2 linked regions of the Yarrowia lipolytica genome follow. The protein of the gene in region 2 binds, or shares a complex with, the protein of the main gene of each other region. Links are inferred from orthologs where the notes say so. Each region holds a gene or a part of one and is shown on either strand. Other genes may lie near its edges.

Region 1 (5,257 bases), on a different chromosome or scaffold from region 2:
AGCTCCGAAAACCAAAGGTGCACACCATCCACATGAACGACTACATATACCCCGGCCACGATCCCAAATACAACGATCATCCTCGTCGATTTGACATTGCTCGTCTGAAGAAGGATGTTGATGAGCTTAGTGTGCTCAACATTGAGGCTGGTGCCCTGGAGTTCTCAAAGACAGCCACCTACAACGAGTCACGACACAATCTCAGCAACTATGTCGACACATACCACCCCAACTGGCCCCATGTGGTGCTGATCGAGGGCTACTACGCTCTGTACGACGAGGATCTGCGCAGGCTGAGCAGCATGATGATTTTTGTCGATAGTGACGCTGACATTCGTCTGTGCCGGCTCGTGGAGAAGAAGGCTGATCCTTCTGGTTCCAATTTGGCCGAGGTGCTGGATGACTACTTTACTCACTCGCGAGTCGAGATGTCCAACTTCATCCTGAGCACCAAGGAACACGCTGATGTGGTGCTCCCTAGAGGAGCCGAGCCCATGGGCGTCAAACTTGTCAGTGTGGGACTGTTCAATCGGCTGAACCAGGAGGTGATGAGCATTATTGAGGGCGAGCCTGTGGAAAAACAAGAACGTTTGAGGATCCAGAGTAAGTGGGATTTGAGAGAAGAGCATTTGGATCAGACGCGGTATGTGGATCTCACGTAACACGTCTCAATCACATGTCCTAACACACAAGTCCGAACACCCAAGTCCGAACACACAAGTCCAAGCGTAGCCATTGTTTCTACAACACACTGCTTCAAGGCAATATACAAGAACTACTTGCACCAAATAACCAATATCGCATTAACAAGATATATTATCATGTTGCTGTAGCAACTACTTGTACATACTGTACGCGGCTCTGATATGTCATCAGCCGATATACAACTGTTAACACGTGAAGACAGGTGAGACTTGGTGGGGTAGTTCTATAACGGTGTCTCTGCTTTAGCTTGGGTTTCATTAGACTAACTTGGACTACAAGTGTGTAAACCTATGGAGATATTGTAACGGCTTTAGTCTAACTTGGAGACATGTGACGGCGTGATCTAAGGAGTACAAGTATTGAATATCTATACAAGCAGGAGATGTATGTGAAAACCGCATAGATGACGACATTGTAAAAGTGCCGTAGTTTCATTACCCATCCATAACTATATCACACTCTATATCTATATCTTTTTGTACTGTCCCCCACATTTCGCTTATTTCGTTCCATCTCAGACCCTACCCCGCTGTCTCAGCTTTCATGTGCCCCTCGGAATGCGTGGATGCAGCCGTTAGGTCCGTGCTCCAAACCATATTTAATATGGGGAAGAGGAAGTTGCTCGAGTTGGAAGAGCTCTTGTTGCCACCTCCCTGCACATGAACTCGCTCGCCAAAGTCGCCCTGGCAGCGTATCTCGGCGTGAATGCCAAAAACCTGCTTTTCGCCTGGCACGTCCGTTTCTTCTACTACTTTTTCCGGTACCTGTTTCTACCGGAAAACCTGCTGGGGTACCCCGAAGCCGAGCTGCCGAAGACGCCGTTCGAGGAATGCCGCTACGACTCGCGATGCAACCTCCTGGAGCTGGACATCAACATCCACAAAAGTAACGCCACGTACTTTGAGGATCTCGATAGCGCCCGAACCAAGCTCATTGTGTGGGTGCTCAACCGGTTCCTCAAGGACTCCAAGAAGAACGATGGCTCGTGGGCCTTCATTCCGATCGGATCCGTCTACTGCAACTTCAAAAACGAAATTGCCCCGTTCCAGAAATACACCATGGTGTCGCGAGTCATTGGATGGGACCACAAGTGGTTTTTTGTCGAGAGCCAGTTTGAAATGAACGACCCCAAGAACCCCACCATCGCGGCGACAGCCATCACAAAGTACGTCATCAAGGACGGACGGAGAACTGTGCCTCCGGGCGAGGCGTTTCGACGGGCCGGATACAGCGAGGAGGATCTGGTCAAGGGCATTTCGGAGTTTAAGCGTCTGGGTCTCCAGCGGTTTATTGATATTGAGGAGATTGGGGCTACTCCTAGAGCCAAGTTGTGATGCGATAGATGATGGTAGAGTCTTCAGTGGATTTGAGTAGACATTTATCAATTCCAAGTACTACAAATTTTCAAGTAGGGTGAGACAAATCAATTGCTGTTGGTGTAGTTATAATAGCTCCTTCCTTTTTTTTTCTTTTTTTTTTTTTCTTCTTTTTTTTTTGTTGTGCCTTTAATATATCGTCTCACAATGCACAGTAATGCACGATACATCTCAAACTGAAACACAACATCATCACCATCAAGAGTCACGACGAGTCTCCAAAATGGTCAAAAAACTCTCGTTCAAAGGCGACAAGAAGACAAAGAAGCCCAAGGCAAGCTCGTCCAAGGGCAGCGACAAAAAACGACCCAGAATCGACCCAGTTGAAGACGATCAGGCAGCGGGATGGATCTCGGCCAAATCGTCAGAAGAATTCCATGGACCCACTTTGTTGGTGACTACCAGTGAAGGCAAGCCATGCTGTTTTGTGTATGAAAATAGCGGCGACGCAGAAGACAAAACCCACTCTCCTACAATGGCAGTATCATTCGACCTCGATACAGTTGACAAGAGTCTCGACACAGCTGAACCGACATCTACACAGCAAGTTCTCCTTCTCTCGCCGTTGGAATTCGACACAAATAAACGGACAATTGATATCGACGAGACGGTGGCGAGGTTTGCTCTCAAAGTTCCGTCTCTGGGCGTCTTTCTGGGCGTGGATAAGGCTGGAGTAGTCTCGCTGGACAGTGTTGCCATCGGTACTCCGCAGCAGTTTACTTTCAAAAGAGAAAAAGGCGACGCGGGGGTTTCGTGGACGATAAAAACGTCCTATGATGCTTATATTGAGATCAAGAACGGTAAGATCAACCTTACTGAAGATGGAGCAAAAGCATCAAAGTTCACAGTAAGACTTCAATCGTCTCACAGAAAGAAGACCACGGCCGAAAAACAGGCGGTGACATACTATGCCATGAGTACAAAGGCCCTGGAGGAGCGTGCTGGAAGATCTCTTGATCCTGATGAGGTTGTCAAGTTGAAGAAGTCTAACAAGGAGGGTAATCTGAACGAGGCCTTGTTGGACCTGAGACAGAAAGGCAAGAGTGATACGTATTGCTAGAAATCTGGTTATGCGAGTGCCAAAAACTACCAAAAACTCCAAACTCCCTATCTATAAGCCATATTGTGTTCCGTCCTGTCTCCCACGAGCTTCTGGTCCTCACTACCCTCGACTTCTACCGTGAACACCTATCCTCCAATACTTGTACTCGTTTCTGTGGTTTGGTTTGGACATATGCATATAAATAAAAACTAACTAATCATCTCCTTACGCCGTCACAATAGCCCATTCACCTTCGGAACTAAGTACCTTCTCCACATCTTCCTTGGGCAGCTGTAAAGCTGTAGAAATAGCGTCAAAGTTTTTTGGCTGCTTTACGAGCTTGGCCAGGACTCCATCTACCTCCTCTTTCTTGATTCGCTCCTGATCAGGGCCCAGACCCACTCGTCGTCTTCCTCCCCGAGGAGTTGCGGAAACGTCCTGCACGTGTCTGTTTCTGTTGAAAGGAGTGATGCCTTCCAAAATGGGATATGAATGAGCTCTGTAAATAATACCCTTGATAACGCCAAAGGTGATGAAGCGCCGAATATCAATGTTGACGAGCTCCTTTTGGTTCTCTGCATACCAGTCGCCGAGAGTTTGGCCCTGATGCAACGACTTGTACAACTTGAACAGTTGTACAACGGAGGGAACAGTTCCTGACATGGAGTGAGAAGAAGAGAACGAGTTGGACCGCTGAGAAAGAGACGATGATGATGAGGTAGACAATGCAGATGTGGCCGACGAAGACAAAGGAGGAATACTCAAGTGCCCACTTTGATCTCTCATCTGGCGCTCATATCGTTGTCTGAAAGAAGTTGAGAGTTCATTCGAAAACAAGCTGGTTCGTGACATGTGTCGTTTTCTATTGAGTCCTGGAGCAGGCATCATGCCCCCGAGGGTTCCTGCAGGTGAAAAGACATAAGCCTGGCATTCTCGACCCATATCTGCGTCTTCAATGAAATCTCCAATGTCTGAGGTGGGAGCGTAAATGTTGGAGAACTGGAACAGGTCCACGATGATGATACATCTGTAGTACATGAGCTGCTGAATGCAATCCTTGGTGAGGTTGTAGTCTGCATCTGCGAGGTCTGCAATCCGACGAATGGAGTTGATCCCATTGATAAACGGCACAATCTTCTCCATGGTGGGATCCCAGTTTTCGTCCACCATTTGTTCCAGACGTACAGTTGCTATGGGAACGTACGACGCTCTGAGGTCTGGAGGCGACGGGAAAATGGGAAACAGTTTAATGTTGATGGCGTTGGAGTCGTTGATGGCCACGAGGCATTCCGAGTAGTTGTTTAGGTCCTGGAACAGCTGCTGGATGATATTGTCGATGAAGACAATGTCTGGTCGGGCCGACAGAAGTTTGCTCTGGATCTCCAGCGCCTCGAACATCTTGCCTATCCGTCTGATGGCTGCATCGTAGGCTCCCGAGGCTGACTCGTAGCTGAAGACGAATGCAAAGTTGAAAATGAACGAGTTTCGCGCGTACTCGTTGGAGTAGATGTGAACCGGGTACGAAGAGACTCGGTAGGCGTTACTTTTAATGGTTACGACGCGGTTGCACAGAGGCGGCTTGGGGATGACGTAGTTTTTCACCGCGTTGAAGGCCACCAGAGCTCCGGGCTGATCCAGAGATTCGGCATCAGGCACAATCGAGTCGCGGGGCACCTGAACCTCGACTCGTGGACCCTCGGTGGGATGGAACGTGGAGTAGAAAATGGCCAGAATCGGCGCAAAGCCGTAAAAGTCCATGTCGTGTGTTTGAGGTGAGGCTTAACGTGGTGAGGGTGATATGATATGTGGTGATGTCCCACCTGCATGATAACGATAGGCATTGTTGTGGGAGGGAGATGAGAGCAGTACAGGGAGTGATGGAGAGACGGTAGATAGAAGGGGGACACGACGCTTCAGTAAAATGAGGAAAAGAATTGAGCCTTCTATTTATTTTTTCAGAGAATGATAGGTGGAAGGTGCTGTTCAAGCAATCTAATCCATGCATTTGTTTGTTCACTATAGTTGAGTTAGTTCATGTGTAGTTGAATGTGACAAGTAGTTGAGCTACCTATAGTTGAGGAAGACAAGGCACCTGTAGTAGGACATATCCATGATATTACGTCACAGAGCCACA
Region 2 (5,594 bases):
GGCAAGTTTAGCCACAAGCAGCTTAAAAAAGGCAAGCTGACGGAAAAGTACTTTGACGAGAACCTCGACTTCAAGTCCGACGAAGTGGACCCCCATACTGGACGAATGATCACACATACACTACGATACACACAAAACCAGGCTCCTCTGCCTGTCAAAAAGCTGCTGGGCAAATGCAGAGAGACCGGATCAGATATCATCCTACAGGGCCATCTGATCGATCTATTAGACAAGCTCTTTGCACTCAACCCCGAAAAGCGAATGACCCCAGAACAGGCACTCGAGCATCCCTTCTGTCATGATAGAGAGGCTGACATAGACCAGCTCGACCCCCAACACAAAGCATAAGATACAAGAGAGCAGCCACTTTGGGCATGTAAAATAGACGGAGGAAAGGCACGCATAGAAATAAGTTATTCCAGACTGTGTGATGTACACAGCTTCAATCAAGTTCCCAAGTTTACTGTAGCCGAGGTTGATGTTACCTTGCACCTTGCTGAATCTACTACAAGTATCCTTTTGACAACATTCAGGTTGCTTCTGTTTCTGTTTCCTGTTTCTGTTTCTGTTTCTGTTTCTGTTTCTGTTTCTGTTTCTGTTTTCTGTTCTGTTTCCTTTCACTCCCTTTTGCTTCCAGTAGTTGTGTTTCTGTTCATCCCTATAGTAATTGAGTGACTTCATACAAGTTGGTACAAGTTCTGTACTTATGAGTACTGTACTCGTACGAACACTTGTAGTACAACCGCTTGTTTGCCTCGTACAAGTACTTCTCACTTGCGCTCCACGATATATCGTAGTTAGAGATCGTCGGAGTGCCGCACAATTCAACAAACGAGCTTCTACTGTGTCACAACCGTTATGGTATAAAAGCCACTTGCACACCACCATTCGCTCCATACCTCTACTATGGCGATTCGTATCGGCCATTGTCCTTCGCTCTTTCACCATCTTTCGCTATGCTATAATTTACTATGTACATTTAAATCTTGTGTCGTGCCTTGGGGTCGGTATGGTAAGGAGACCAGATACCTCGGACACTCTCGTTTATACTTTCAACGGGGCTCTTCATCTGCTTTCGGGGAGCTCCGTCGGAGCTCTTGAGCATCTCAAACTTGCCGTTGATGAATCGGGGATGCTTGTTCTTGCAGCAGATGGTCTTCTCGGCACCGTTGACAAACTCGCCTCGGATGAAGGGGTGGCCAATGTCCTTGACAGCCACAAACTCGATCTCGGGGTTCTGAGCAGCAATCTTCTGCAGGTTCTTGTCCAGGTATTGTCTGTGTTAGTGTGATCTGAGACGCGGTGGATGTCTGAATTCAAAGACCAAACAAAGATGACACGTCACACCACACGCACTGGGTAGCATTCTGCTCTTCATCTAGCACCCCACTTGTGCCACTGGCATGTCTGTACCTCCATCTATGTCCGTGTCCAAGTCACAGTTCAGTTCCCCGTTGTGATACTCACCTCATTCCGTCGGAAGAGCCACCCCAGTTGCAGTACCGGAAAGTGACCTTCTTGCACTGAAGCACAAAGTTGCCGACACCGTTGAGGTTTCGGGCAACAGTCTGGTAAGCTGGTCGAGCCGACATTTTTGTGTGTTGAATGTAGATATTTCAGATTGATCTGTGCGTTGCGTTTAGGCTCCTGTAATTTTGCAAAGGTAGGGTAACTGTGGAGGCCCGAAGGGGGGGAGGAGTAATTCTTGGTAATGAGAGACAATTAATATGAAGGAGAGCATTTTAAATGGAAGAAAAACAACAATAGAGACAGTGTGGATTCTTCCATACAATAATTACCAATATTAGAAGAGCTTGAGGGGGTATTGATCTGCCCTTCAGAGTTCAACTAAGCCAAATACAGTTACTAATGTTGGGGCATTTATTAGTTAGCTAATTGTCAAACGTTTACTTAGCCTTCTCCCGCCTCTTTCGACTACCGCCACTGAAGTCATCAACAAGGTTCCAATGCAGAGCGAATCAAGACCAAGCTGAAGTCGTCTTGAACACCACAACTCACTCGCTCTCACGACAAAAACAATGCTGCGAACACGAGCCGTCGGAATCTTGTCCCGCTCGATCCACACCTCTCGGGTGTGTGCGAAAAACGTCAAGCTCGAAAACCCGTGGTTCAAGGGCGAGGGACCCATGGAGCGAACCAAGCGAAAGCTCGAAAACACGGCTGCTCGTCCTGGAGGAGCTCTGGCCGAATACGATCTCTACGGCGATCTTGAGACGGCCCACAACAACGTGGAGGCCGTGCTTTCCAACGGCTTTGTGTTCAAGGACGACAAGGTGCTCAAGAGCAAGTCTCCCAGCGGAAAGAAGCCCGTTGGAGCCATTCTGATGGGCCTTTCTGAGGTGCTGGCCTGGAACCTTACTCCCGAGTGCGTCAAGGGTCTCGATACCGGTCTGGTTGAAATCGATCCTGCTGCACTGGGTGTCTTTGAGGTTGTCTACCCTCGTCCTGAGCTGCTCATCTTCGGCCTGGGAAAGAAGTCGCGAGTGCTGTCGCCCAAGACCCGAAACTATCTCAACTCTCTGGGAATCTCCGTCGAGATCTCTGACAGTGCCAACGGAGCCAAGAACTTTGATCTTCTGGCCACCGAGCGTCCCGGTCTTGTTGCTGCTGCTCTCTTTCCTCCTGACCTGTGATTAGAAGGACAAAAGAGCAGCAATGTATATAGTAAAGTATTTATTTGTGTATCAAGGGGAGGGTGGAGACGGTAGTATGAGCGGATGGTCAGTATAGTACAAGTACAGTGTACTTGTTATTGCAAACAGCCTTGTAGCTCGCTGATTCTTCCTGGGGCACACTGTAGGTCTGAAAAACTCGATCACGTCTTGAAAAGTCTTCTTCAGAAGAATATATCCAAAAAAAAACCTAGAAAAACAAACTAGCGACGATATTCTGTTCGCTTTCCCCTTGTATTTACTTCTTCTCTACCTTTCTTGTATAACTCTCTTCAATCCCATCTCACTTCACCCTACTCACGATGTCAGATAAACTTCTGATGCACAACACTAATATTTCAAACCAACATCACGACCATCAACATCACTACACACACTAACAGCATCCATAATCATGGTGAGTATCTGCGCGACATTTGCTCTGCAATCAACAACAAGGCTAACCCAGGCTGAATTGGAACGGCTACCCCCTCACATCCAGCGGCTCTTCCCCGAGTGTCCCGAGCCACGGTACCTGGAGCCGATCGACTATGCTCCTGAGGACCGAAGAACGCAGAAAATCTCAGGCGTTTCGGCGTATATGGAGCTGTTGAAGCAGCCCGATTCGGAATACGTGCCGACCGAGTCGTGGCTGGTCAAACAGCAGCGAGAGAAGCGGCTAAAAAGTGAGCGCCAAAAGGTGACCCAGCAGGAACGAAAAGAGGCATGGGATCCCAAGAAGGACGACAAGATTGTGGGCGATCCGTTCAAGACGCTATTTGTGGCGCGTCTGGCGTTCGACGTGACTGAAAACGACCTGGAGGAACATTACATCAAGTTTGGGCCTGTCAAACACGTACGTATTGTACGGGATCTAAAGAGCGGCAAGAGCAACGGATATGGGTTTGTCGAATTCCAGGAGGAAGACGATTTTCGAAAAGCATTTCAGATGACCAACGGATCGATCATCAAGGGCAGAAAAGTGGTGGTTGACGTCGAGAGAGGCCGTACGGTCAGTGGATGGCTTCCTCGACGACTAGGAGGAGGAAAAGGCGGAAGACACTACACAAAGGAGTCTGAACGCAAACCGCTCGGTCCACCAATGCCACCGGGAGGAGCTGGAGGACGGGATCTGTTTCCAGGACACAGAGACCGAGGTGGGCCCAGATCAAGAGACCCTAGAGGATCCAGACCTCCGGAAGACTACAGAGACTCGTTCAGAGGACGGGGCGGAGGTCGAGGAGGACGAGATTTCAGAGACAGGGATCCCCGAGATCGAGATCCACGTGATCGAGACCGAGAACGAGACCCTCGTGACCGGGATCGAGAACGACGACCTCAATACAGAGACAGAAGTCCTCCTCGAAGAGAAAGAGATAGAGGGGACTTCAGAAGAGGGCCAGCTGACAGAGGAGGAGACAGAGGAGGACGAGAGCCTACAAAGTATTATTAGGCTGAAGGTATACACGGCATGTAAATATATAGCTGTATTATTATAGTATTTTGCGCATTCAGATGAGATGGTAATACAAGTATGCACATACTGTAGTCAACTGATGGTAATGTAAGTAATAGAGCATGGAAAAGATATGCCGGAGGAAGTTCAACACTTGCTTCTAGGGAAAAGGTATGATACGGACGAAGACTGCTGGCTCCACTCACCCTAGTATATCAGCCTCTTAATTTCTTTCCCATTACTACAGTATTATCCACACTTATGAAAGAGCTGCGCAGTAAATGGCCTCAAAAAACACCACATTAAATGTCGTCAAACAAATTGCATATCAAACACTTCTGACGGATATTTCTGTTCTTCTGGCTGTTATACTTGTCCTCGTAGACCAAAATATATTCCCAATTACAGAAGTTGTTTTGGCGCCCAAATCAAACCTAGTGAGCCTCGGTCACACAACCAGCCATCATAGTATAGTGGTTAGTACACCACGTTGTGGCCGTGGAAACCTCAGTTCGATTCTGGGTGATGGCAAGTGCCTATTCTTTTTGCTCTGATCTGGATCAGACATGTTTTGTAGGCGAAATATGGAACCACTTTTTAGAGGGCTACATTTTGAAGTTTCATTTTCGCCCTAACCCTGAATCAGATTTTGGATAATGTAGCACAAAAATTAGCTCCACTAAAGCTTTTATTAAGCCATCATAGTATAGTGGTTAGTACACCACGTTGTGGCCGTGGAAACCTCAGTTCGATTCTGGGTGATGGCAGCATCATGCTGTTCCAAACAAGCAGGTTTGATTCCTGCAATATGTTTTTTGTTTTTTGAAGATTCTTTTCATTTTTTCCCCTTGTTAACTGTGGTAGAAATCAAAATGAACCAGTCTTACATTCGTAATATTACCAATCCGCTATTAGTATATGAAAACCGTCAGAGTAGATTCAATCAAAGTTCGGAGATGCATGAAATTTCAATATCGGAGAAGTTTGAGATCGTCTTGAACTACAAAAACCACAATCCATGTCTGACGTTGAGCAGCTCACCTCGTCCAAGCTCGGTACCAAACAGTACTGGGACGAATTTTACAACCTCGAGAAGAACAACTACGCCGAAAACCCCAACGATTCTGGAGAATGTTGGTTCAGTGACTCTGGAGCAGAAGAGAAGATGGTGGACTTCCTTGTTGACGAGGAAGAGCAGGGCCAGGGCGAGTCTCTGATTTCCTTGGACTGTAAAATGTGCGATCTGGGCACAGGAAATGGACGACTGCTGTTTAGTATCCGAGAGGGGGGATTCACTGGTCACTTGACTGGGCTGGACTACTCTCAGCCTGCTGTGGAGTTCTCCACCAAGATTGCCGAGCAGGAAGAGATGGAAAACATTACTTTTGAGCATGCGGATTTTCTGGGAGATGCCGCTATGTGGTCGACTGGCAACCGACAATGGGACGTTGTGCTGGACAAGGGTA

Evidence for each region.
Region 1: YALI1_E13808g (region 2) and YALI1_F04001g share a complex: the UniProt entries of both Schizosaccharomyces pombe proteins name them as parts of the spliceosome. The link is inferred for Yarrowia lipolytica from reciprocal best matches to the Schizosaccharomyces pombe genes usp101 and frg1.

What each region holds. Positions count from the first base shown.
Region 1 is NC_090775.1:397,872-403,128, forward strand, and holds YALI1_F04001g (uncharacterized protein), read left to right. Parts: upstream 1-2,238; coding exon 2,239-3,141; downstream 3,142-5,257. Other genes in the region: YALI1_F03974g (uncharacterized protein), read left to right, coding at 1-662; YALI1_F03992g (uncharacterized protein), read left to right, coding at 1,365-2,039; YALI1_F04027g (uncharacterized protein), read right to left, coding at 3,349-4,881. UniProt on the Schizosaccharomyces pombe protein: May have a role in processing of pre-rRNA or in the assembly of rRNA into ribosomal subunits. May be involved in pre-mRNA splicing.
Region 2 is NC_090774.1:1,378,296-1,383,889, reverse strand, and holds YALI1_E13808g (uncharacterized protein), read left to right. Parts: upstream 1-3,087; coding exon 3,088-4,125; downstream 4,126-5,594. Other genes in the region: YALI1_E13848g (uncharacterized protein), read left to right, coding at 1-348; YALI1_E13823g (mitochondrial 54S ribosomal protein mL43), read right to left, coding at 980-1,277, 1,468-1,592; YALI1_E13818g (uncharacterized protein), read left to right, coding at 2,040-2,654; YALI1_E13787g (uncharacterized protein), read left to right, coding at 5,147-5,594. UniProt on the Schizosaccharomyces pombe protein: Involved in nuclear mRNA splicing. Essential for growth.